Linked DNA regions of Alligator mississippiensis. Each later gene encodes a partner of the first gene's protein in a complex. Links are inferred from orthologs where the notes say so. Each region holds a gene or a part of one and is shown in the gene's direction. Other genes may lie near its edges.

Region 1 (11,099 bases):
CATTTACAAGGAGGGGGAAGACTGACCCACAGAGAGGGAGCGATTGGCTTGTGTGCATTAAGTTGGTGGCAAAGCTGAGCTGAAAATTACAAGTGTTTCTGGCTCCAAGCTCTGCAGTCACTCCAGCCCACACTGCCTCCAGTCCTAAGCCACTTCATATCACATAAGCAGTCAAAAGAGCAGAGGTTTGCCACAGCCACAGTTCCCTTTGCTGGGATGCGTCATGCACAATTGTCTGCTTAAGAAGCGTCTGCTGACTTGAAGATGTCTGCCTTTCCACGGGGAAGTGATTTCAACACAGTTGTAGTTTTTTTAAAACCATGTCTGATAGGAGGGGCTCAGAGGCCAACCGTGACCACTGCAAACCATGCAGTTGTAAGGGGACTTGAGCTGTGGAGGGGCCTTGTTGCATTACTGTTATGCTTTAAGTCCTGAACTGCTTGTACATGTGACAGGGGTTTAGTTCTTTAAATTGAAATGGCAAATTTTTTTAATTGCAATTAAAATTTCACCATTTCAATTTAGGGGCATTACGGTGAGGGACCTGATCCTTTTTTTTTTTTTTTTTTTTTCCGCCCTGTGGAGCCTTCCTGCTTCTCCCACGGCCAGGGGGCAAGCTGAGCTACCCCTGAGCTGTGCGGGGGGAGCCCTGGACCTTCCTCCCCAGACCTGGATGGCAGCAGTGCCCCCTGGGGCCACCCAGGCGGGCAGCTAGCGGGCCAGTGCTGCCTCAGCTCACAGGCAGCACCCAGCCTGATCCAACAGTTCTCTGAGCCCGGGCTGGGGCAGCACCTGCCTGCTACCTGGGCAGCCTCCTGGGGTGCCGCCATGGTGAAAAGAAGAACTGGGGCTCTCCGCAGCTCAGGCGCTGCTCAGCCCACCGGCAACTCGCCCCCCGGCCGTGGGAGATGTGGGCAGGTCCATGGGGGAAAAAAAAAGGATCAGGCCCCTCACTGCTTCTGCCTTCAGCCCGCCTCCCCCGTGGCACCCGGGGGGGAGGGGGGGGGTGAACTGTCAAAGGCTGCAATGTTATAATATTGCACGCGGAAGTGGCTTAGTTTGCAACATAGCAAACTCATTTAAATCCTAAAAAAGCTCCTCATGACACAATTAAACCGCAAAAATAGCCAATTTTTGTCACCCCTGTTGTTTAGTAAAGAATAGAGGCCTGAAACTGAACCATGCACAGGGCTCCCAAAACAGGGAACCTTGCTACGACGTGATCCCATAATCCTTGGACACTATTAGATCAGTGCTACAACCAAAGATGCACATTTCTAGAAGCATCCCCCTAGTCCTGTCCTTGTTCTGCAGACCTGTCTCTAAGTGCCATGAACCCCATGAAACAGTAGCGATGTCTTTTGCACCAATAGCCCAAGGCAAGGACCTGAGTGTTGGAGCTATTGAATAAAGCCTCCCACTTCTCAGTGAGACGGTGTCTAGCCTTTTTTTTTCTCTCATCAGAAACCTGAAACAAATTATGACAACTGAAAAAGAAAGCCACAACATGCAGTGAGTCTGTTGTGGTGTGACTACAGCATTGTCAGCTCCTACAGAGCATTGCTAACAGGCACGTTCTCAAGATTGCAAGCTTTAAGTGAAACAAGATGAACCAACGTGAATCCAGAGGGTGGGATGATGGTGGCAGGCGGGGAGTAAATTGAGATTACAAGGAAGGATCACCAAAAAGGATTAGTTTGAAGGAGCAATCAAGACCAACTATAGCAGTGACCCCCAACACAAGACTCGCAGGAAACATTTTCCCCATAGACCTTCCAGCATTGCTCACTGCCACGCAGGATAATAAAAAGCTAAAACAGAGGTTGATGGAGAGAGCAAAGTATAGTGTTGCCCTCAGTGTGTTACTGACTCAGTATTGTAGTTCATGAGTCAGTAAAGATCAGGGACCCATGAATTATAACAACGATGCATAGGGACATCCACATATGGGCTCTTTATTTGGTTTGAAACAAGTTATTAGTGGAAAGTTTCTTTGGTGTCCTGCATCCTTCCTATTGTGACAAGCTCTGCAGGAATGTCTGCAGTGTACCAGTTTGTATTAAGGATGCATTTCAATGTAACTGGCACACTTTTCTTTGGAAAATCTCTCTCCAGAAACTATGTATGGTTAGTAGGCTGATAACATGGAGCTGCAAGCACAGAGCCAAGTGCCGAAGGATTGCTGATAATCAGCACAACTGGTGTTTTTAGAAGTAGAAAATGTTACAGGCTGTAACGGATGGTTTAATGAATATTTGTGTATTTGGTAGTGGTAATGATCTGTCTTTATTTACACAGGGCCAGGATTTTATATAAATGACGTTGTCATAAATCTGGCATTAATCTAATTGAATTCACTGGAATTGCTTCAAGTTAACATAAATTTAACTGAGCTCAGAATGGGGTCCCAAAGTACAATGGGACTAGAGGTGAAATTCTCTTGTGTATCATCAGTACAACCCCATTGAGGTTAGTGGGCCACATGTGGAAACAGAGGAGCACTGGGCTACTTCAAATGCAGCTGTTAACATAGGCTGTGGCCTTCTTTGAACACTTTGAGAGCCAGAAATAGTCTTTGCTCTGATGCAAATAGCAAATCAGCAACCAGAGCAGGATGAAGCTGTTGCAGATTGTCTTGCATATGATGCATGTGTCAGAGGCAGGTATGTCATGCCAGCCTGCAGCAGAGGCAAAAAGCCTGGGTTTCAAATAACTGTAGTTAGATGCAAGAGTGCAGGAGTCAGGTGTCTGAATGCTAGCACAGGATTTGCAAAGCAGAAAGGTGGCCTGGACTAGGCCTCCCAAGTTCCAAAATAAGTTGCACACCAAGCCGCTGTAGCATGTCTGAGGAAGAAGAAGCAAAGCTTTAAGAACAGTCTGCTACAGGAAACTGTGTTGGCCACAGTATTTCAGTTCCCACCCCTCAGTTGTATTTTGGCAGCCAGGGTGGTTGGGCAATGATTCTGCCTCCATGCGTTTTGTAAGATCCACCTCAGCTCTTGGTCACAAGACCACCGCCCCTGGTGTGAACACAAACAGAATCTGACTCTCCCACAGTCTGAACAGCAGAAGGGACAATGGACAAAATCCTGGGATGACTGTTCAAAGGGGGATATAAGCTATGCAAACTGCACTGGCAGGTCAGGCTGGTCACAGCAGGAGAACTTACAAAATGTTAATCCAGTTTTAGTTTAGCATCTCAAAGGCACTGTCAGAGTTTGGAACCAGAGTGCCCTGGGGTCTCATCTCTGAGCAAACCGCAGAGTTTTCTGAATTGTCAGGGCATTGCAAACCCTGGATATTTCAACAGAAGTCAAGTGTTTCAACTGGTGTTTGTCATTGCACCCTACGTTCTGTGTGTCTTTCAGGTTGTCCGGCTTACTAACATTTTCAGTCTGGGACAGCACGGAGTATGCATGACGTTTGAGGGCTGTGTATTTAATGGTTTGCCTCTGGCGCTGCATCCACATCCCCACACCTGACTCTATGTTGGGCTTTCATTTCTTCTCTCATCAGGACTCTCAAAAAAGGAACCAAAAAGGGCAGAAATCCCATGAATTCCACACTCTCATCCTGCTAGACTTAGTTGTGCTGGGTGGGGGTTTTAGGCACAGATGGTTGGGGGCTGGAAAAAGTGAATCCTGCTGCTGTCCAAGCTGTCTTCTGCAGGTAAATGCTTTCAGCCTCCAAGATTGCTGAGTAACATTTTTTTTACCAGTCCTGACCTCACTGATAAAGATCCTCAGTGACGTGAGGCTTGCACAAGCCACAGTGATTTCTTACCAGCTGGGAGCAAGAATGGGGTGGGGAAGGGAATCCAGCTGTACTGAAACTAGGATGGATAAGTTTCCTGCCTTGCAGGTCTTAATTCCAGCTCAGTCCATTCCAGCACTGAACTGACCTCCTAATGACCAGTGCGAACCTGCTCTTAGCCCTCCAAGTGCTCGCTGGATCCACCCCTTGGATTAGGCTGTGTTTGAAGCCTTAAAAGTCTCTGCAGGGTTGTCTCGTGATGTATTTCAGGGCATGGTCTCCCTACATCTGCGCTTTCTGAACTCTTGAGCAGGAGCTGCTTTCTGTCTCTTCATTTAAAGGGAAGTAGTAAAGAGCAACATTATGTTTCATACTGCATCTGTCTCCCAAGGTGAACCAGAAAGGTTCTTGATCTGAAGCAGTGAGGCTCCATGGTTTAGCTGGATCATACCCCTGGCTGTTTCCTTGCTGAAGGCACTGGCCAGGGGTAAGCAGTGACCAGGGCAGTGGTAACTCACCTGGCAGGTCGTGGCCCATTATGACGTTTTTCGTTTTCAGCCATTGAGCCCCTGAGGGGTTTCAATATTGACACCAGCAAGAAGTGGATGACACCTCACGGAGACCATCTTTCTTGGCCCAAGGTTCTTCAGCACTCTGATGGCCACAAAGCCTGGTAAGAGTCAAGAAATAACCCCCTCTCAGGTCCTCAGGGATGCTTGTTCCCTGGTGTGGGGGCACTGGGAATCCCCATCATGCTCCTGGTACCCACAGTGCCAGGCCCTAGTTTAAACATCTTGTGAGATACAAAACATCATTTGGCTTCTGTGGAGCCTTATAAATTTGTGTGTAAGTAATTAGCTTTTATATCCAGTCATTATCATTAGGAGCCTTCATAACATTTATGCATTAAAGCATTTGTTTCACAGGCTTTGGATTTCAAGCTGCTTTCACTCTTGCATTCCCCCCATAACTGGGTCACCGTGCTGTACAGGCAGCAGCTTGCGTGACTAGACCACCCTTCCACTACGACGTTTGCCAGGCTGCTCATTTCCTGGCTTTGTGTCTCATCTCTGGGTAGCAGCAGCTGCTGCTGCCCCACAGCTACCAGGTGTGACTCAAGCTTGGGCTGGAAACGGTAACCAGATAGAAACTGATGCAGTTCTCGTGGGTTTGTCAGGAATACAAGTGGGGGGCTGGGCTGGGGGAGTAGGAAGGCTAATGTGGAGACAACCCATGTAGTGTCTGGAGATCGCTGCTGCGGCAGTGCATTTCTGCAGAATGGAGGGCTGATTTAGGCTTTGGAGCAGAAAAGAAAACCCCCCTCCTCCTCTTCCCTGCTGCAGCACATAAAGTGGCTGATGCAGAAAGAGAAGTGTAATTCACCTGGCAGGTGTTTTATGATTCAGTCCCATGCTTTGCTCTAAAACTAGGGAATTTTATGTTTTCCAGAAAACTGCATCTTCCATGATATCTTTGGGGAAAAGTGGTGGTTGGATATATGACCAGTCACTGGGGGGCTATGTCCATAGCTCATGGTATTAAAATGACAAACACTCTTAGCTTCAGCATTGCAATCTGGGCTGGAGAGCTGTTGTATTAGCATGGGGGGGTTAGGAAAATGAGGGGTGACTCATTTACTGATCTGGTCCCAGGCAGCGATCACATAAACCCACTCCAGTGGTCAGCCGTAATAGTGACACAGTGCAAAATAAAGGGGAAGTCATGCTGATCAGGAGGGTTACACTGGTCACTCCTTTGTCTATTGCTTTGTACACTCCTTTGTATATTGTACTTTTTTTTTTACTTCCACATATCCTTCAGGATTTTGGCAACTTCCTCAGAAGTTAACAACCAAAACGGGATGCTTGGCAGGCTGAATAAGTGCACTCTTGCCAAAGAAGCGATCAAGTGTCAGGAGATTGGTCTGAGAGGTACAGTCCAGCTCATTCTTCTTAGTAGTTTTTTCAAGTAAATTTTGAATAGGATGGGGGAGGGAGGAGTCTGACAAACACTGGAGTACAACTTCACAGAGAGGACAGGAGGGAGGCAGAGAGGGGTTCCTGATACATTAGGTCTCCAGGTTGTCTTGGACCACTGATGAGAAAAAGAAATCCAGATACACATTAGCTGAGAAAGGGGGAAGCTGATGAGTGCTCAGAGACTTCTCTGGCATGTAAGGCTTGGTCCAAATCCCATCACCATTGATGGAAAGACTTGTGTGTGCTTCCATGAAGCCTATCACCCCAGAGCTGGACTTAGCATATAAACAGATGGGTTAAGTGTAAATACTACAGCTAAAGACGTCCTGGATAGTTGTAGCCCTGGTCTGGATTTATAAGATCAGCCCAAGCATGAGAAATGCTGAGATGATGGGCATTAGCATATGCACCTGTCTATATTTCCACCCTGTTTGCTGTTTCTCTATTTATTGATTACATTTAATTTCACTATTTTCAGGAAATGTTTTTAAGTCAAAAAATATCCAGGACGGTGGCATAGCTATAGCTAGAAGTGCAGAATGGATCCTGGTAAGTGACAGGAAAATACAGCAAGGCCTTGGATGTGTTCTCGTAGAGGACAAGTTACATTTGCTGCGATACACAAGTGGTCAGAAACACCTTATGGAGATGAGCTGCTGTGCGTTGGTGGAAGCCTAGGTCCGCAAGCCACAGCACCTGATCTACCATGTGGGAGATCAGGGGCACCTTCTCTTTGGCTGGGGAGGGACTTTGCTGTCAGAAGAAGCAGAGCTTTGCTGAAGCCCTCCAACCTGACGGAGAGGCTGGCAGAGGGAAGCCTGGGGTGGGGAGGGCACGTATTGCTATGTCTCTCTCCTAAGAGACTTTCAGCACTTTGCAAGAGAGGGGAATGGTTTGGTGACTCTTGATGAGAGGTTCTTTGGCCTGTTTGATTTGAAATGTTGGCACGTGGCTTCTTTGGCCATCTTCTTTCGGGTCCTTTCGCTGCCATTCATCAGTAAATCATCCCTCCCCACACAGGCTTGTCTGCAGAAAAAGCGTCGCCAAGCTTTTAGCACTGTGGAGGACCTGAATGGAATCTGCAGCCTGCTTACTCCTGAATTTCAAGACAAGGCTTTCCTCAACCTCGCCAACATCAGTATGGAACAATGCCAATGCCATGTTTTTGGGGAGGGACCATGACAGAGGGAACTGCTTTTGTGCTGCGCACAGAGTACCATTCGAACCCTGCTGCCCTGAAGGCCTCTAGAGGCCTCTTGAACTCCGGCTGGGTAGCTTCTGCCACCCACTTGGAGCATCTAGGTGATAGAAATTTGGAGCTGAATTCTGCTCTGAGTGACACGTGTGTGTTTGCTCTGAGTTTGTGTGTTGTGAATGTCTGGGAAGCATTTGGCCTTTGACATTCTGGAATACAAAGGTGTACTTATGTTGTGTTGTGTGCCTAGTGCATGCTGGAGGATTGGGCAGGTACAGCCAGATTTAGAACCATTAGCAGGTGCCTAAAGCGATCTTCAAAAGTGCCAGGCAGGCAGCCTCGAGGTGCCATTGGTTCTTAGGTTAGAGGGCTGACTCGGGACCCACTGTGATCTGACACAGAGCTGCGTCTCCAACTGCTTTATTTAAAAATGTGTGTTTCTAAAAACTTCCCCTGCCTTTTTTTTCATTTGCACAGTTGAGAACAAATTAAACAGCAGTGACCAAAGTAGCAGCAGCAACAAGGACAATGTTAATGTTATCGAACCTGACGACTTCATCAGCACACACACCCCCCTGGGCATCCGTAGTACTGGCAATCACCCACGTGATGATTTAGGAAGCGAGCATGTAATGAAAGGTAAGTGCTGGGTGGTAATATAGATCATCTCTTAAGGGGGGCAGGGTAGAGACGTGTGTTAAATGCAGCTAAATACCTCACACCCTGCAGGTGGGAGGGTGGTGTGGAGGGGAAATGAAGTTATTCCAAATGTGGCAGGCCAAGGCTGATTTGCAGCAGTGTGTCTTCCGTGCTGCAACACAGTAATGAGCCAAGAGCTGAGCTTTCTCTGCAAGTTTCCTGCCATTGTATGTCTTTTTGTCTCAGACCAACACGGCTACCAAGTACACCCCTGCCATTGCTGAAGCACTTGTGGGGACAAGTGTATAAACCACAATACAGTATTAGCTGGACATAGTCAGCATGGCTGGGTGACAGGGCGGTAAACTCAGCCCTGATTAGACTCTGTTGGCTACGAGCTTCAATATAAAGACTTTTTGATCGAAGAAGCAGCTATTTTGGAGGCAGATCACAGTACCCCTGATACGGAACGGATGCTGGGAAAACAATGCCTGTTTTTCTCCCCTCGTCCCCTCTCAAAACACTGGGAAGCTTTGTTCCTTTTCGGGGTTCTGGACACCCTTGCTAAAAGCTCTGTCATTCTGCTGTCCTCAGAAATGTCATCCTTCTCCTGCCTTGGTCAGCAGATGAGGCAGGGAGAATTCATGCTATTCACCACTTACCTCTGCTTCCCCTTCATTTATACTCTGACCCAAGCAACTATGCATGCCTGTTTTAAAGGACCTCAGGACTGTAACAGGCCACCTGAGATGCAAGGCTGTCATCCATTTCACACGAGTCTTCAGCCCATACGTTAGCCTGATCCTTCTTAGACTGAAAGGATGGTGACAGCACAGTGCACAAGCATGAAGCCCCAGAGTTGGCTTGTCACTGGATCATGGCACAGGGTATAGCTGCAAGGTACATCTACACACTAAATTGCTTTTTTTTAAGTAGAAAATCCCCCAAATAAAGAAGGTGGGCATAGAGATGAAAACAGCGACAAGAACAATAACAGCTATGAGCCTGGCATGGAGGAGGACGACGACATGTGTAAGTGAGGAAATATCTTGCAAGGGAACATGCTGTTAAATATCACTTGCTACCCTTGATTCTGGGCACTCGCTGTGTGGCTGCCAACAGCTCTGCCCTCCATGCGGACTGTGAACTAACAGCTTTGTGGTTTTGTGGTAGCTGGCTATTGAGCCCTTACAAACTTTTTGCAATGCTGGACTGCTGGTGGGCTGGGTGAGGCGCTCTGAACTCCCAGTTGCTGCCTCCATGTCCTTCAGCATCCTTTGAATTCTTGTCCCCGGCAGATGCAGGAACAGAGATTGCTATTGTTTTGGATGGGTCCGGGAGCATCGAGCCTGAGGATTTTGAAAGGGCGAAGGCCTTCATCTACACCATGATGGAAACAGTCTATAAGAAGTGTTTCGAGGTATCTTCTTTGCTTGGTCTGGTTGGTCTCGCTGAAGATGCTGTATTGTGCTATTGTTGCTCTTCCCCCGTTTTGTTAGTCAAGAATCAGTCATTGAATGGAAAACCTCCAAGGAGGGCCAGTGCATAGCCAAAAGCTGTGTGTCTGTTCAGTTATACTCCAAACTGCTCCCTCTGCTGCCTGCACATAGAGCAAAAAAATAACATGAAAACAAGAGCCTGAAAAATAAGTTTAGCCTGCGCTTAAAATTCTCTGGTCCAACTGGACAATGCAGAATAAAATGTTAATATTATTGAGACCCTAATTTTCCCCAAACTAAACCAGCTTTCAGGTTAAATGCTGGACCCACCTCCTCAGCACGTAGGTGTGATTTCTGTCTGAAATGTTCGTATTGTCTGCCTCTGCCTCGTTAATGCTGTTTCCTCAGTTGGGATTTCCTTGACCCACTGTCATGAAGAGCTGGGGTTCTCTGGTTCTGCCTTTAGTAATAATGAACACCTGTATGTCCCTTCTTCCCAGTGTAATTTTGCCCTTGTCCAGTATGGCATGGACATCAGGACAGAGTTTGACCTGCGGGACAGCTGGAATACAAGTGCCACTCTCCAGAAAATCCAGAACGTCATCCAGCTGCGCAATGTGACCAGAACAGCCTCTGCCATCCAGCACGTCCTGTAAGTAGTGAAGCAGAGAGAAAAAAAAAATGGAGATGCTGAATTCCTGGGGTGCATCAAGAGTGATGGGGAGAGCTAACACTGAAGACCTTTCCAGGCCTGCATCAGAAATCAATGACTCTGGTGCTGCACAGCTTTGCAAATATAGATTCATAGATGTAGGGTCGGAAGGGACCTTGTAGATTTTCTAGTCTGACCCCCTGCCCTGGGCAGGAGAGATCTGGAGATTTAGTAAACTATTGGAATTAAGTCACGAGGCTCAGAGAATTATCCTTACTGCCTGTGTTGCTGGCTTGCTCTTCATCTTTCAGAGCAGTGATTCTCATCCAGGGGGTTGCACTATATTAGCCCTGTTGGGTGTGTAAACACCTGTATGTGATTCACAAGAAAAACCCAGAGATTTCATATAGGAATTCATAGTATCAAAAACATTATGACCTGCTGTGGTCTTTCTGAGTTCTTTGCAACAGAAGAATTGCATTGTTATTTTTGCATAGTCAAAAAACGAGTGAAAGCTAAGAGCTGGCATCTTCCAAGGGGGGACCTTGAGTCTAACAAGGTTGAGAACTGCTGTTTTAGAGAATGTTATCTATGACTTTGCTGCAGACCAGCTGGCAGTGCCAGAGACTTATCCCTGCTTTTGGGGCCCTTGGAAAGAAACGGAGAAAAGAAGTTAGAGCCCTCTGAATGCACAGTACAAACCTGACGAGCAGGACCAGGATTTGGGGCTAGCTAGGGTATAATTACTTAGCCTGTATGTATCCTTCTCAGTAAGGATGCCCTAGCAATTGAGAAATGGTGCATGGAGCTTTTCACTTGTAGACTGCATATTCAAATCCAGTGTAGGCTGGTGTAGTAACTGGGAAAGCTTTCATCAGAGCTGTGCTAATGGAGCAGAAGTACTGAAGTTACCATGGTCGTTAATTTTTTTATTGCTGCCATTAGTGTAGAGAGCTGGGATTTACGGACTAATCAGAGGCTTCTCTCCTATGCTGTCGACCTTCTACATTGCATAAGCACTACATTGACTGCAAGGAAAAAAAAGTCTATATTTGTTTTGTTATGTGAATATGGAAGGGAAGTCCTGAGTAACATAATCCCCTCTCTGCTGTTCACAATGATTGTTAGCCAGAAATTTCTTTTTTGTTCCACTCACCCCCAAGCACTCATTTCTTGACAATTTTAACAGGGACTTTATCTTCAATGAGGATCGAGGGTCCCAGAAAAACGCTGTCAAGATCATGCTTGTGCTGACAGATGGGGAAATATTTATGGATCCACTGAACTTAATGGACGTGATCAGCTCATCCAGTATGGAAGGAATTGACCGCTATGCCATTGGGGTATGTTTAGATCTTTAGATCCAGGAGATCCTGCTCTCATCTGGTCCTAATCATAGCTGGCATTCCTCACTGGACTGGGAAAGAAAAGACAGAATTGAT
Region 2 (10,622 bases), on another chromosome or scaffold:
TTATGCAGTCAGGCTGGGGAGCGGGGGTATGATCCTGGGTCCTGGAGTGCCCAGGGCAGGGGCAAGACTCAGGGCAGGAGAGAGCCCGTGATCGGTCGGGGCTGCAGGGTGGGGGTGAGGTTGGTGCCTGCCTGGGGCGCTGGGCCCTGCTCACTTCCACACTCCCCACAGGGCTTCTTCCGCCGCAGCATCCAGAAGAACATGGTGTACACGTGTCACCGGGACAAGAACTGTCAGATCAACAAGGTGACGCGGAACCGGTGCCAGTACTGCCGGCTGCAGAAGTGTTTCGAGGTCGGCATGTCCAAGGAAGGTGAGCCCGGGCAGGGGGGGCTCACGGGCCCCCTGCACTCTCCTGCCCCTCTGTGGCTGATTCTGGGGTGCAGCTGGGTCCCGCGTCCCGGCCGAGTGCGCAAATGGGACCGGCGGTCTGCTTGGCCGGCAGGGCATGGCTCAGCTGTGGGGTCAGACTGTGCCTTAGTTGCCTGGGCCCAGTTGTCGTGGCCCCAGCCTCTGCTGCTGGGCTGGTCTCGGACTTGCTAAATGTGGTGCCTATGCTGGGACGTGCTGGCACGCACTGCCAACATGTGTGGCCATGGGCACGTGTGGGCAGACCAGCCCTGGGGCACCAGAGCCATAGGGAACCTGGTCCTTGATCCCAGCAGGGCAGGACATGGGGTCTGGCTCGTGTTGCTCTCCGAGGGCTGTCAGAGGCTGGCGGGGAGATGGAGTGTCTCTCCGTGCTGTTGCTTTTACTCCCCCCGGCGAGGGCTTGTCCCTGTGCCCGTTAGGGCAGGCCCCCCATTCATCACCGTCTCCTTAAGAGCCCCTAATTAGCCGTGTCTGTGTCTGCTGAGATTGATTTCCGGGCGCCTGTCACTTTAAGAGTGGAAGGGAGGGGGGATTATGGGATGCAGGGAGACCTGTTGCCTAGGAGACAGGAAGCAGGGGGTGTTGGGGGGGGTTTCGGGGTGCCCTGCAGCAGGGGAGGGGGTGTTGGAGCTGCGGGGAGCTCTCCTGGCCCCCTCCCCAATGGGATGGAGGATGGGGTAGGGGGGTCTCCCAGATCCGCAGCCCCTGCCCCGGGGCTGAACAGGGTGGGGGTGCCAGCTGCCCCGGTGCTGGAGGGGGATGCCCCCCCCCCCCCCCCACCGGCAGCCCTGTGCCGGGGCGGCTATAAGTGGATATCCTGCCGCTGGCGCATCCTGTTGGCAGCTCCTGCCTGGTGCAGTCGGGTTAGCAGGAAGTGCAGCCGGGCGAGCGCCGCGGGGGGGCAGCACGTGTGCGGGGGGGCTGCTGAGCTGGGTCTGGTCTGCGGGGCACATGCTCCCCTGTCTTGTGCAGGCCGTGGGCAGCGCTTCCTCCCCCCGCCCCCCAGCCCAGCTCCCCCAGGCACCTGGGGGCAAAGGTGGGGGGGTCATTTTGGTCCCCCTCCTGCCCCAAGGGAACCCAGGGCAGAGCCCTAGGGAGGAGGAAGCTGGGAATGCATCTCCTCCAGCCCCCCAGCACCAGCAGCCAGTCGCTGTGGGGTTTTCCCCGGCAGGCAGCCAGTCTGGGGCCGTGCTCCCAGCTGGCAGGTGCCCGCGCAGGTGCCAGTGCACGCTTGCGGGACACACCTGGGTACAAGGGGGGGAGCGGTGGGGTCTATGGCCTGGCTGGGGGGCAGAAAGGGGTGGGAGGCTGGCTGGGCCGTGCCCCCCTGGCTGTGGCGCTATCCAGCCGCCTTGTCCTCGGCTTCCTGTTTTCCTGCGGCCGAGAGCAGAAATCTCGGTGGTTTCCAAGCTGGGGCGGAGGGGGGAGGGAGCCCGATGCCTCTCCGGCACAGCTGATACCAGGCTGCCCCTGTGGTGCCCGGTGGCCAACGCTGCCACCAAACCACCTGCCCCTCAGTGCCACATCAGTGGGAGAGGTCTCCAGGGGAGGGCTGGCCTGGTATGACCCAGCTGGGAGGTGCCAGGCTGCTGCCCCGGGAAGCCCAGCTATGTAGGCAGCCTTTCACAGAGCCCAGGGGAGGTGGGGAAACCGAGGCACGGCGCCACCCTCAACTGGGGTGTGGCTCAGGGTCTCAGTTCAGGCCACGTGGCTGCCCTGCGTGCTGACCCCCACCCCTCGCCTGCTCTGCCCCCCAGCCGTGAGGAACGACCGGAACAAGAAGAAGAAGGAGGTGAAGGAGGAAGCAGTGGGGGACAGCTACGAGCTGACGCCCGAGCTGGAGGAGCTGATCCAGAAGGTCAGCAAGGCGCACCAGGAGACCTTCCCCTCGCTGTGCCAGCTGGGCAAGTACACCACGGTGAGAGCCCCTCCTCGAGCCTGGGTTGCATGTGTTGGGCTGCTCACTGCTGTCGCGAGCGGAGGAGCGGAAGCCGTGCTCAGCCCGGCTGGGGGATGCGGGAGGTGCCCAGACACAGCTGCAGTGCTGCAAGCCGGGCACCAGGTGGCACCTGGTGTGCTCCCAGCAGGACGCCTGGGTTCCTTGGACACCCGGGTTTTCTTCCCCAGCCTGCGAAATGGGTGCAGAAGCCCCCAGCCCCTCTCGGGGCACCGCTCGGCCTCAACCCCTTCCCCTCACGCAGAACTCGAGCGCTGACCACCGGGTGCAGCTGGACCTGGGGCTGTGGGACAAGTTCAGCGAGCTGGCCACCAAGTGCATCATCAAGATCGTGGAATTCGCCAAGCGCCTGCCCGGCTTTACCTCACTCAGCATCGCCGACCAGATCACTCTGCTCAAAGCCGCCTGCCTGGACATCCTGGTGAGGGGCAGGGGGCGGCCGGGAGGGGGCCGTGGCAAGGAGGGGGCCGTGCAGGGCTGACCCCTGCCCGCTCTCCCAGATGCTGCGGATCTGCACGCGCTACACGCCGGAGCAGGACACCATGACTTTCTCAGATGGGCTGACGCTGAACCGCACACAGATGCACAACGCTGGCTTCGGGCCCCTCACCGACTTGGTGTTTGCCTTCGCCGGGCAGCTGCTGCCCCTTGAGATGGACGACACTGAGACCGGGCTGCTCAGCGCCATCTGCCTCATCTGCGGAGGTGCCAGGGGCTGTGGGCTCAGGGTGGGGGGAGCTCCTGGCTGTGCCAGTCCCAGCGGGCGCTGGGGGTTGTTCCCGGCTGCTCTGTTCCCCAGCGGTGCCAGCAAGGGGTGCTGCGAGCGTTGGGGGCAGGGGGGCAGCAAGGCTCAGACCGCTGGTGCCCTGCAGACCGCATGGACCTGGAGGAGCCTGAGAAGGTGGACAAGCTGCAAGAGCCGCTGCTGGAAGCGCTGAAGATCTACGCGCGCCGGCGCCGGCCCAACAAGCCCTACATGTTTCCCCGCATGCTCATGAAGATCACCGACCTGCGCGGCATCAGCACCAAAGGTAACACGTGCCACTGTTCAGGGAGCTCGCAGCCTTGGGTCCAGGCATGGCACTGCTGGCGGGAGCTCGCAGCCCCAGGGATGGGTGTGGCACTGCTGGGGAAGCTCACAGCCCTGGGGCCGGGTGCAGCACTGCCGGAGGGCGGTGGTAGGGGGCGAAGCTTGCAGCTCACAGCTCTGGGGCTGGGCATAGCACTGCTGGGGGAAAGCTTGCAGCCTGGGTGCCACAGGCTGTCCTGCAGCGAAGAAGCTGTCTCTGCTTGTGCCCACTCACATCCCCGTGGCACTACTGTGTGGAAGCTTGCAGCGTGGCCCCCTGCGCCAACTCTGGTCCCTGTGTCGGCAGGCGCGGAGCGGGCCATCACGCTGAAGATGGAGATCCCAGGGCCGATGCCGCCCCTCATCCAGGAGATGCTGGAGAACCCCGAGATGTTCGAGGACGATGTGTCACAGCCGCCTGCGGCCACTGAGCCCCCCCACGCTGCTGACAGCCCGGGTGGGGACCACAGCCCCGAGGAGACCCCATAGCGCCCAGGCGTGCCCCTGCCAGGCTCCTGTGCCCGCCGGGCCGGACACTCCAACCTGCCCTGCCCCGCGGGGGCCGCGCAGCACGATACGGACGCTGACTTGGGCCCACAGGCCCACCCAGAGGTATAGCCCTTGCCTTAAGTGGGGTGGGGGCAGCCTGGACCCCTGCCCTACTCCAGCCCAGCTTCTCATTGCCAAAGTCCCGGGCAACCTCAAGCCAAAAACGGGGGCGAGGCCGAGCCCCGGATAAGGACCAGGGGGGTCCCCTCCGCATGCATTTGCTGCCCCCCCCTGCACCAGCAGAGACAGACCCTGGCCTGTGTCCCTGGGGGGGGGCATTGAGACGCCCCGTCCCCAGCGGATCCCCGCCGTGAAGCCGACCAGCTGCGAGGGACCCAGGCGTCTGGGGCTGTATTTATTCGACTCGCTGAAGACGAAGAGGGATGGGGCCAGGGGATGACACGGGGGCGCCAGCCCCCGCCCTGCCCTGCCTCCTGGAGCTGTGGAGAGGGGGGTGTAACGGGGGTGGGGGGGACGCGGATCTCGGGGCCGAGGTCCAAGTTTGGGAGGGAGCCGCTACCGAGGTTGTTGCTGTATAAAGTGTGAGTGGGGGGGGCTGGGGGTGCGTGTCGGGGGGCTGCAGAACGGTGCCTGGGGTGGGGAGGGGGGGCTGGGGCTGCCCTGAGCCCATGGGTGCTGAGGGACATGGGACCAAGGGGACTGGGGGGGGGCAGGGGGATTCCTCCAACACGGACTCCCCAAGGACCCCCCTCCCGGCACATGCCCCCGCTCTGCAGATCCTAGGGGCTGCTGAGCCTTGCCTCCCCCAGCCTCTGGCTTGGTCCTGCCCTGGGGGGGCCTGGGGGTCCCGACCTGCTACACTACAAGCTGGAGGGTGCAAGGGCGGGGGGGGGGGGTGCTGCAACGCTATGCACAGGTTATTTATTCCCTTGAGTTTACATGGGATGCGGCGCCCCCCCATCCCCAGCCTGCCCAGGGGGGTCCCTGCTGTCCCCCTGTTGCATCCAGTACTGCGAGGAGCCCACCCGCAGCCCCAGGGTAGCCCAGCGCCCCCAGCCGGGGGGGCCGCGCCCCGGCACGTTTACAGCCCCCCACCCCCTGCCCGCCCGGGCAGCACTTTTCTATTTTTGCAAAATAAAGCGATGGAAACATGCCCGTGGCCCGCACGCTGTCTGTGTCCGTGTCCGCTGAACGCTCCCGAGCCCCTGGCACGTGTGTGGCTTCATGTCACCGCAGGCTGGCGTGTCCCATGCCACGGCCCTGCCTTGCCTGTGGCTGGCGTGTCCATGCCACAGCCTGGCTCCAGGCCTCGGTGCTGTCTGCGCGGCCTGGTGAGGCCGCAGGCAGGTGCAGCTCTCAAGCCTGGGTGGTTGGGGGGGCTGCCAGCGATGCCCCCTGTTCCCAGCAGGAGGCACCTGTGGCACGAGGAATGGGGGCAGAGGCAGCAGCACCCCCTGGTGGCGGCCGGCAGGAGCCAGGCCCTGGGGCCACACGGGTTCGTGGCGGGAGGGGGGTGCTGTGTGCACCAAACCGCCGGCAAAACAGGAAGGGGGAGATGGAGCAACTGCTGCGGGCGGAGCCCCACCGCCTGGACACGCTGCCTGGGCACTCCCCTGCCCGTGCAGGCAGCTCCCTGTGCACGCGGAGGGTCTGCCTTGTGTGTGCTCATGAGCAGGGTGCAGCCCCCCGTGCACAGCCGTGTGCACCGCTGGTGCATGCACACGCCTGCAGACCCTGGTGCCAGAATGCAGACCCCCCCGGGCACCCCCCCCCCCAAATGTGCATAGTGGCACGTCTCATGCACACGCACGTACGCAGAGCCCTGCCCTACAATCTGGGCACTGCCAGGTAGGGGCACAGCTCCCCGTCCCATGCACAGTGCAACTCCCCCACCATAAACACACACATACACAGATACATGCACACACACACGGCACCCACGGGAACCCACTGCCCCACACACACTCCTGTGCACACACACCCTGTGCACACACACTGCCCCTGGGGCGACCAGGCTGCAGGAGGGCCCAGGGCAGGAGGGTGGGGCTTAGGGCTGCCAGGATGGACATGGGGGCAGGATGGACATGGCTGTGACTGCAGACGCCCCAGCTTGGGGTCCAGGCCTGCACGTCCCCCCAGCTGCCCCCCTGCATCTGGTGGGTGATCCAGGGCCGCCCCCTGCACCCGGTGCAGTGACCTAGGGCAGTGGCGGTGACCCCAGCACCCTCGGGCCTGGCCCCAGTGGCCCAGCCTGGGTGATGCCCCTCTGCCCCCCAATCCCACCTCTGCCTCCAGCCCCTCCTGCCTCCATCCCTGCCCCTCGGCCCTCCCCCACGCGCTGCGCCCCACCCCACCCGTGGTTGTGGTTTCCTATCACAAAAAGTTGATGCAAATCGCGGTGCAGCTGCCTGGGGAGTTACGGCCACACGTATCGGAGGCTCCGGCCGCCACCCCCTCACCTGGCACCGTCCGTGGCTGGAGCCCGGAGCCAGCCATGCTACTGCCTCCAGTGCCAGGCACCTGCCACCGCAGCAGGGTGAGTGTGTACGGGCAGGGCCCAGGGCTGGGGACAGAGACGGAGGCCAAGACCTGGGGCTGGAGAAGGAGGGATGATGCCACTCCCAGGCAGATGGGACCAGGGGTAGGCAGGGGTCAGGACTTAACAGAAGGAGGCGGGCAATGGAGAGCGGGGCAGGCACCACAGCTGCAAGAGAAAGGGAAGAGGAAGGGGAAGGAAAAGGGAGCGCGACGGCCAGACGGGCCAGGCCTGTGCTACTGTCCTGGGCCCTGCTCCGGGGGTGGGGATCGTACTGCACCGTGCGCAGCCGCCCAGGTCCCTGCTGGCTTGGAGCGGGGTGCTGGGTTTGGGCTCCTCCCAGGCTGGCGGGGCTGGGGCAGGACCGGGCACTGGGTGCGGCTGCTCCAGCGGGCACACAGCGTGCCATGCACGACACCCGGCTGCAGCCTCGAGGCACTGTGGGTGCAGACAGCCCTGCCTGACCCTCGGAGCCAGGAGCGGCTCTCGCGCCCACGGGTGGGTCCTGGCGTCTCCGTGGGCAGCTCTGGGCATGGCCTGGCCAGCCCCGTGGGCAGCCTGGGTCCCGCCACCCAGGGCACCGAGGGGGAAACCGAGGCAGGGAGTGTCGGGGCCGGGGAGGGGATCCAGAAGTTCCCGAACCTGGTGGTGCGCTGCGACTGCTGGGCCTCGCTTCCTGCCCCGCCGTGCCGAGCCCCTGGGTTGCGTGTACGAGCAGCTGGGGTGGGGTGGGGGGGGCAGCTCACACGCACACGTACACGTATACGCTGCATGCAGAGGAAACGAGCGGGTGCGGGGGGATGCGGGCCTGAGGGGGGCACCTCTGAGCCCCGGCTGAGGGTGTCGCAGCCCGTGGGAGCCCCTCGTGCGACTCGCACGGGTACGGGCGGGACACCCCCTCACCCCTGTCCCCGCAGGCGATGCCGCGGGACGTGTTGCGCGTGGGCCTGGCCCTGGCGCTGCTGAGGCTGGTGGCCGGGACGAGCCCGCAAGAGGCTGGAGCAGGTGAGCAGGGCGCCGGGGGGATCGGGGGGCCTGGGGCGGTGCGGGGCTGGCGCTGCTTCCGCAGCCCCTGGCCCTGCCAAGCGTCACCCCCGCCTCGTGCGGTCCCCGCAGGTGCCTGCCAGCCCCAGGCCTCCTGCCAGGATTGCATCCGCTCCCACCCCAGCTGCGCCTGGTGCAAGGACCTGGTAAGCATGTGTGGCGGGGAGCGGGGTGGGCTGCAAGCAGAGCAGGGCATCCGCATCCCAGCCCTGCTATTGCCCCTCGTTCCTGACCCGCAGCCCCTGCCCCGATGGTGCCCCTCGTTCCCAACCTGCAGCCCTTGCTGCCCCCAGCCCCGCTGGTGCTTCTCCTGACCCGCAGCCCCCTGCCCCCCCCAGTGCCCCCCCCACAGCCCCCCTGCCTGGGCTCCACCGCCGCCCCGTGTCTTGCCCTCAGGTGATCCCCGGCAGCGGGAGTCACGTCCCAGTCGGGCCGTGGCCCCAGGTTCACCTTCACTCTTCTCCTTTCTGTTCTCGGTCTTTCTCACGAAAAGGCCAGGGGAAATAACAAGCTGAGTCAGGGCACGTCCCCCCTCCGCCCTCCCCAGATCCAGCCCTCCCTTGGGGAGCCCCCTGCCTCCACCCCCAGCCCTGCCGGTGCCCCTCGCTCCCGACCCGCAGCCCCTTGCCCCCCTGCCAATGCTGCTGGTGCTGCCCACTCCCGATGCTGGGCTCCCCCCAGCCCCTGCTAGCTCAGGCCTGGCTGTCCTCCCCCCGTCTCTGGCAACCTGCCCCCTCGGACCCTAAAAAGGGCCTGGAACTAGGTCTGGCATGGGCACCCGTGGGAGCGGGGAACCGCTGAGAGCCCCGCAGGTGCTGGCAGCCCCCTCCCCCCCGGAAATCCTCCCCGGTGCTCCCCCAGCGCAGGGCAGGGGTAGGGGCTGCCTGTGTGCGTGACAGCAGCAGGCCACATCCTGCCCAGCAGCGGGGAGAGTGGGCTGGTGGGGCTGGGGCCGTTGGCCCGCATCTCACTTGGCTCTGGTTTCAGAGGCCAGCACCATGCTGGGGGAAACTGAGGCAGAGCTGCGCTGGCGGGGCAGGGTGAGGAGGCTGCGGCTGGCCTGGGGTGCACCCCCTGTCTGTCTGTCACCTCCAGCAGCAGGAAATGCGGGTGGCAAACGGCCACGATAAGGATCTGCGCCCATGCTGCACGTCTTGCACGGCGCTGGGAGGGGTGGCAGTGCCCATGGCGGGCACTAGACGCCCCTGACTCAGCCCTGGCCCTGTGCCCTTGGCAGGGGTTCCCGCAGGCGGGCGAGGGCGATGGGGCGCGCTGTGCCACGCGGGACGTGCTTCTGCGCCGTGGCTGCCCCCCGGGCGAGGTGGTGGAGCCCGACAGCGAGACCCGGGTGCTGGAGGATGAGCCCCTGAGCCCCAGCCACGGTCGCATCACCCAGCTCGCCCCGCAGCGCATTGCCCTGCGCCTCCGGCCCGGTGCGTGTTGGGGGCTGGGGGGAGAGGGGCCATGGGGCCCGGCAGCCTGGCAGGCATGTGGTCCTGTGTCACTGGGGGCTGGCGTGTCCCTTGCCACGGCCCTGCCTTGCATGCGGGTGGTGTGTCCCTGGTATGTCACCATGGGCTGGCGTGTCCCAGGCCCCGGCCCCGTGGCTCCTGGTGGGCTCCCACATGTTCCCCGGGCTTGGGCAGACAGACAGATGAGCAGAGGCTTGTCCCGCTGCCCTGCTGCCCCCTCCCATTGCGCCCCAGGCCCTGGTGACCCCGACCCCGAGCCCTGACCCGGGCTGTGTGCACAGGGGCGGCGCAGCGGCTGCAGGTGCGGTTCCGGCGAGCCGAGGGCTTCCCCGTGGACCTCTACTACCTCATGGACATGTCCTACTCCATGCGCGATGACCTGGCCAACGTGCGGCGCCTGGGCAGCGCCCTCCTGGACACCCTGCGCCGAGCCACCCCCTCCGTGCGCATCGGTGTGGCCCCCTGTCTGGACGCCTGGGTTGCACCCCCGGCTCCCGCAGGGCGACAGTCGGCTGGGACCCGGGACCCCTGGGTTTCATGGGCAGGGGTGTCCCTCAGGGTGGGGGATCAGGGTCTTTTTGGGGGTGTTCCTCATGGGCACGGGCTTGGGGGAAGGTCCTTTGGGGTGGAGTGGGGGGGGGGTTGGAGGGGTCCCCCAGGGTGGGGGTCCTTTGGCACAGGGGGGTTGGAAGGGTCCCTCTCAGGGTGGGAGGGCCTGGGTGGGTTCCCTCAGACCAGGGAAAGTCAGGGTGGGGAGGGGGGTCAGGGGAGACCCCTAAGGGTGGGGGGGGGGGGCTGGAGGCAGGGTCCCTCAGGGCAGGGGGCCCTTGGGGCATCCCTGAGGATGAGGGTGAGTCTCTCGGGGTGGGGGGGGGGCCCTGAGGTCAAGGGGAGGGTCCCTAGGGGGGTTCCCTCAGGGTGGGGGGTCAGGACGGGGATTGGGGGCAGGGTCCCTGAGGCCAGGGACCCCTGGGGCAGCCCCCCCACCCCTAGGCTGACGGACGTGCGGCCCCGCAGGCTTCGGCTCCTTCGTGGACAAGACGGTGCTGCCCTACGTAAGCACGGTGCCGGCCAAGCTGCAGAACCCGTGCCCCGAGCGGGGCGAGCAGTGCGCCCCCCCTGCCAGCTTCCACCACGTGCTGCCCCTCACCGCTAACGCCAGCGAGTTTGAGCGCCGCGTCGGGCACCAGCGCATCTCGGGCAACCTGGATGCGCCCGAGGGCGGCTTCGATGCCATCATGCAGGTGGCTGTGTGCGAGGTAGGTGCTCATATGTGGGTGCAACAGGGCCCTTGTGTGAGTGGGGGAGCGCTGCACGGCTGTGTGTGTCCACACGTGTGTGAGCCCAGGGGGGCTGAGTCCACAAAAGTGTATGTGCATGGCAGGGTGTGTGGAGAGCTGGGAAGGAAGGAAGCGCATGGGTATGTGAGCACACTTGTGCAGACAGCCATGGGTGTGCTTTCATCTCGCTTTATGTGTGCATGTGTCTGTGCATGCACAACTGGGATTGTGTGTTCACAAGTGGACCAGTGTGTGCATGAATGAAGGGGTGTGCATATGCATGGCTATGAGCGTGAATGGAAGAGGAGTGAGCACACGTGTGCAGACAGCTGTGGTGTGCATTTGCCTTGCCTCATGTGTGTGACTGTGTGCTCACAAGTGT

Evidence for each region.
Region 2: the proteins of ITGAE (region 1) and ITGB7 are in contact, whole or in part, in a cryo-EM structure (PDB 8ZJF), measured with the Homo sapiens proteins. The link is inferred for Alligator mississippiensis from reciprocal best matches to the Homo sapiens genes ITGAE and ITGB7. Residues at the interface, in NP_002199.3 of Homo sapiens: Phe36, Leu38, Arg91, His92, Arg93, Gly94, Leu111, Arg113, Leu118, Ser119, Ser120, Leu122, Glu196, Glu198, Arg230, Tyr233, Glu234, Phe237, Glu238, Cys239, Asn240, Ser259, Gln260, Val262, Met263, Leu266, Arg300, Leu401, Gln403, Phe406; in NP_000880.1 of Homo sapiens: Val201, Leu202, Pro203, Ser206, Thr207, Val208, Pro209, Ser210, Lys211, Arg213, His214, Cys216, Pro217, Arg219, Leu220, Glu221, Arg222, Leu255, Asp256, Ser257, Pro258, Thr291, Phe292, His293, Thr294, Ala295, Gly296, Asp297, Lys299, Leu300.

The regions. Positions count from the first base shown.
Region 1 is NC_081837.1:2,311,458-2,322,556, forward strand, and holds the start of ITGAE (integrin alpha-E), read left to right. Parts: upstream 1-5,579; 5' UTR 5,580-5,614; coding exon 5,615-5,684; intron 5,685-6,210; coding exon 6,211-6,281; intron 6,282-6,752; coding exon 6,753-6,870; intron 6,871-7,404; coding exon 7,405-7,566; intron 7,567-8,502; coding exon 8,503-8,598; intron 8,599-8,864; coding exon 8,865-8,986; intron 8,987-9,505; coding exon 9,506-9,657; intron 9,658-10,846; coding exon 10,847-11,000; intron 11,001-11,099. UniProt on the Homo sapiens protein: Integrin alpha-E/beta-7 is a receptor for E-cadherin. It mediates adhesion of intra-epithelial T-lymphocytes to epithelial cell monolayers.
Region 2 is NC_081838.1:9,266,540-9,277,161, forward strand, and holds the start of ITGB7 (integrin beta-7), read left to right. Parts: upstream 1-6,237; 5' UTR 6,238-6,294; coding exon 6,295-6,444; intron 6,445-7,361; coding exon 7,362-7,449; intron 7,450-7,560; coding exon 7,561-7,634; intron 7,635-8,725; coding exon 8,726-8,921; intron 8,922-9,241; coding exon 9,242-9,412; intron 9,413-9,977; coding exon 9,978-10,219; intron 10,220-10,622. Other genes in the region: RARG (retinoic acid receptor gamma), read left to right, coding at 172-313, 2,130-2,290, 2,574-2,750, 2,830-3,034, 3,202-3,360, 3,706-3,887. UniProt on the Homo sapiens protein: Integrin ITGA4/ITGB7 (alpha-4/beta-7) (Peyer patches-specific homing receptor LPAM-1) is an adhesion molecule that mediates lymphocyte migration and homing to gut-associated lymphoid tissue (GALT).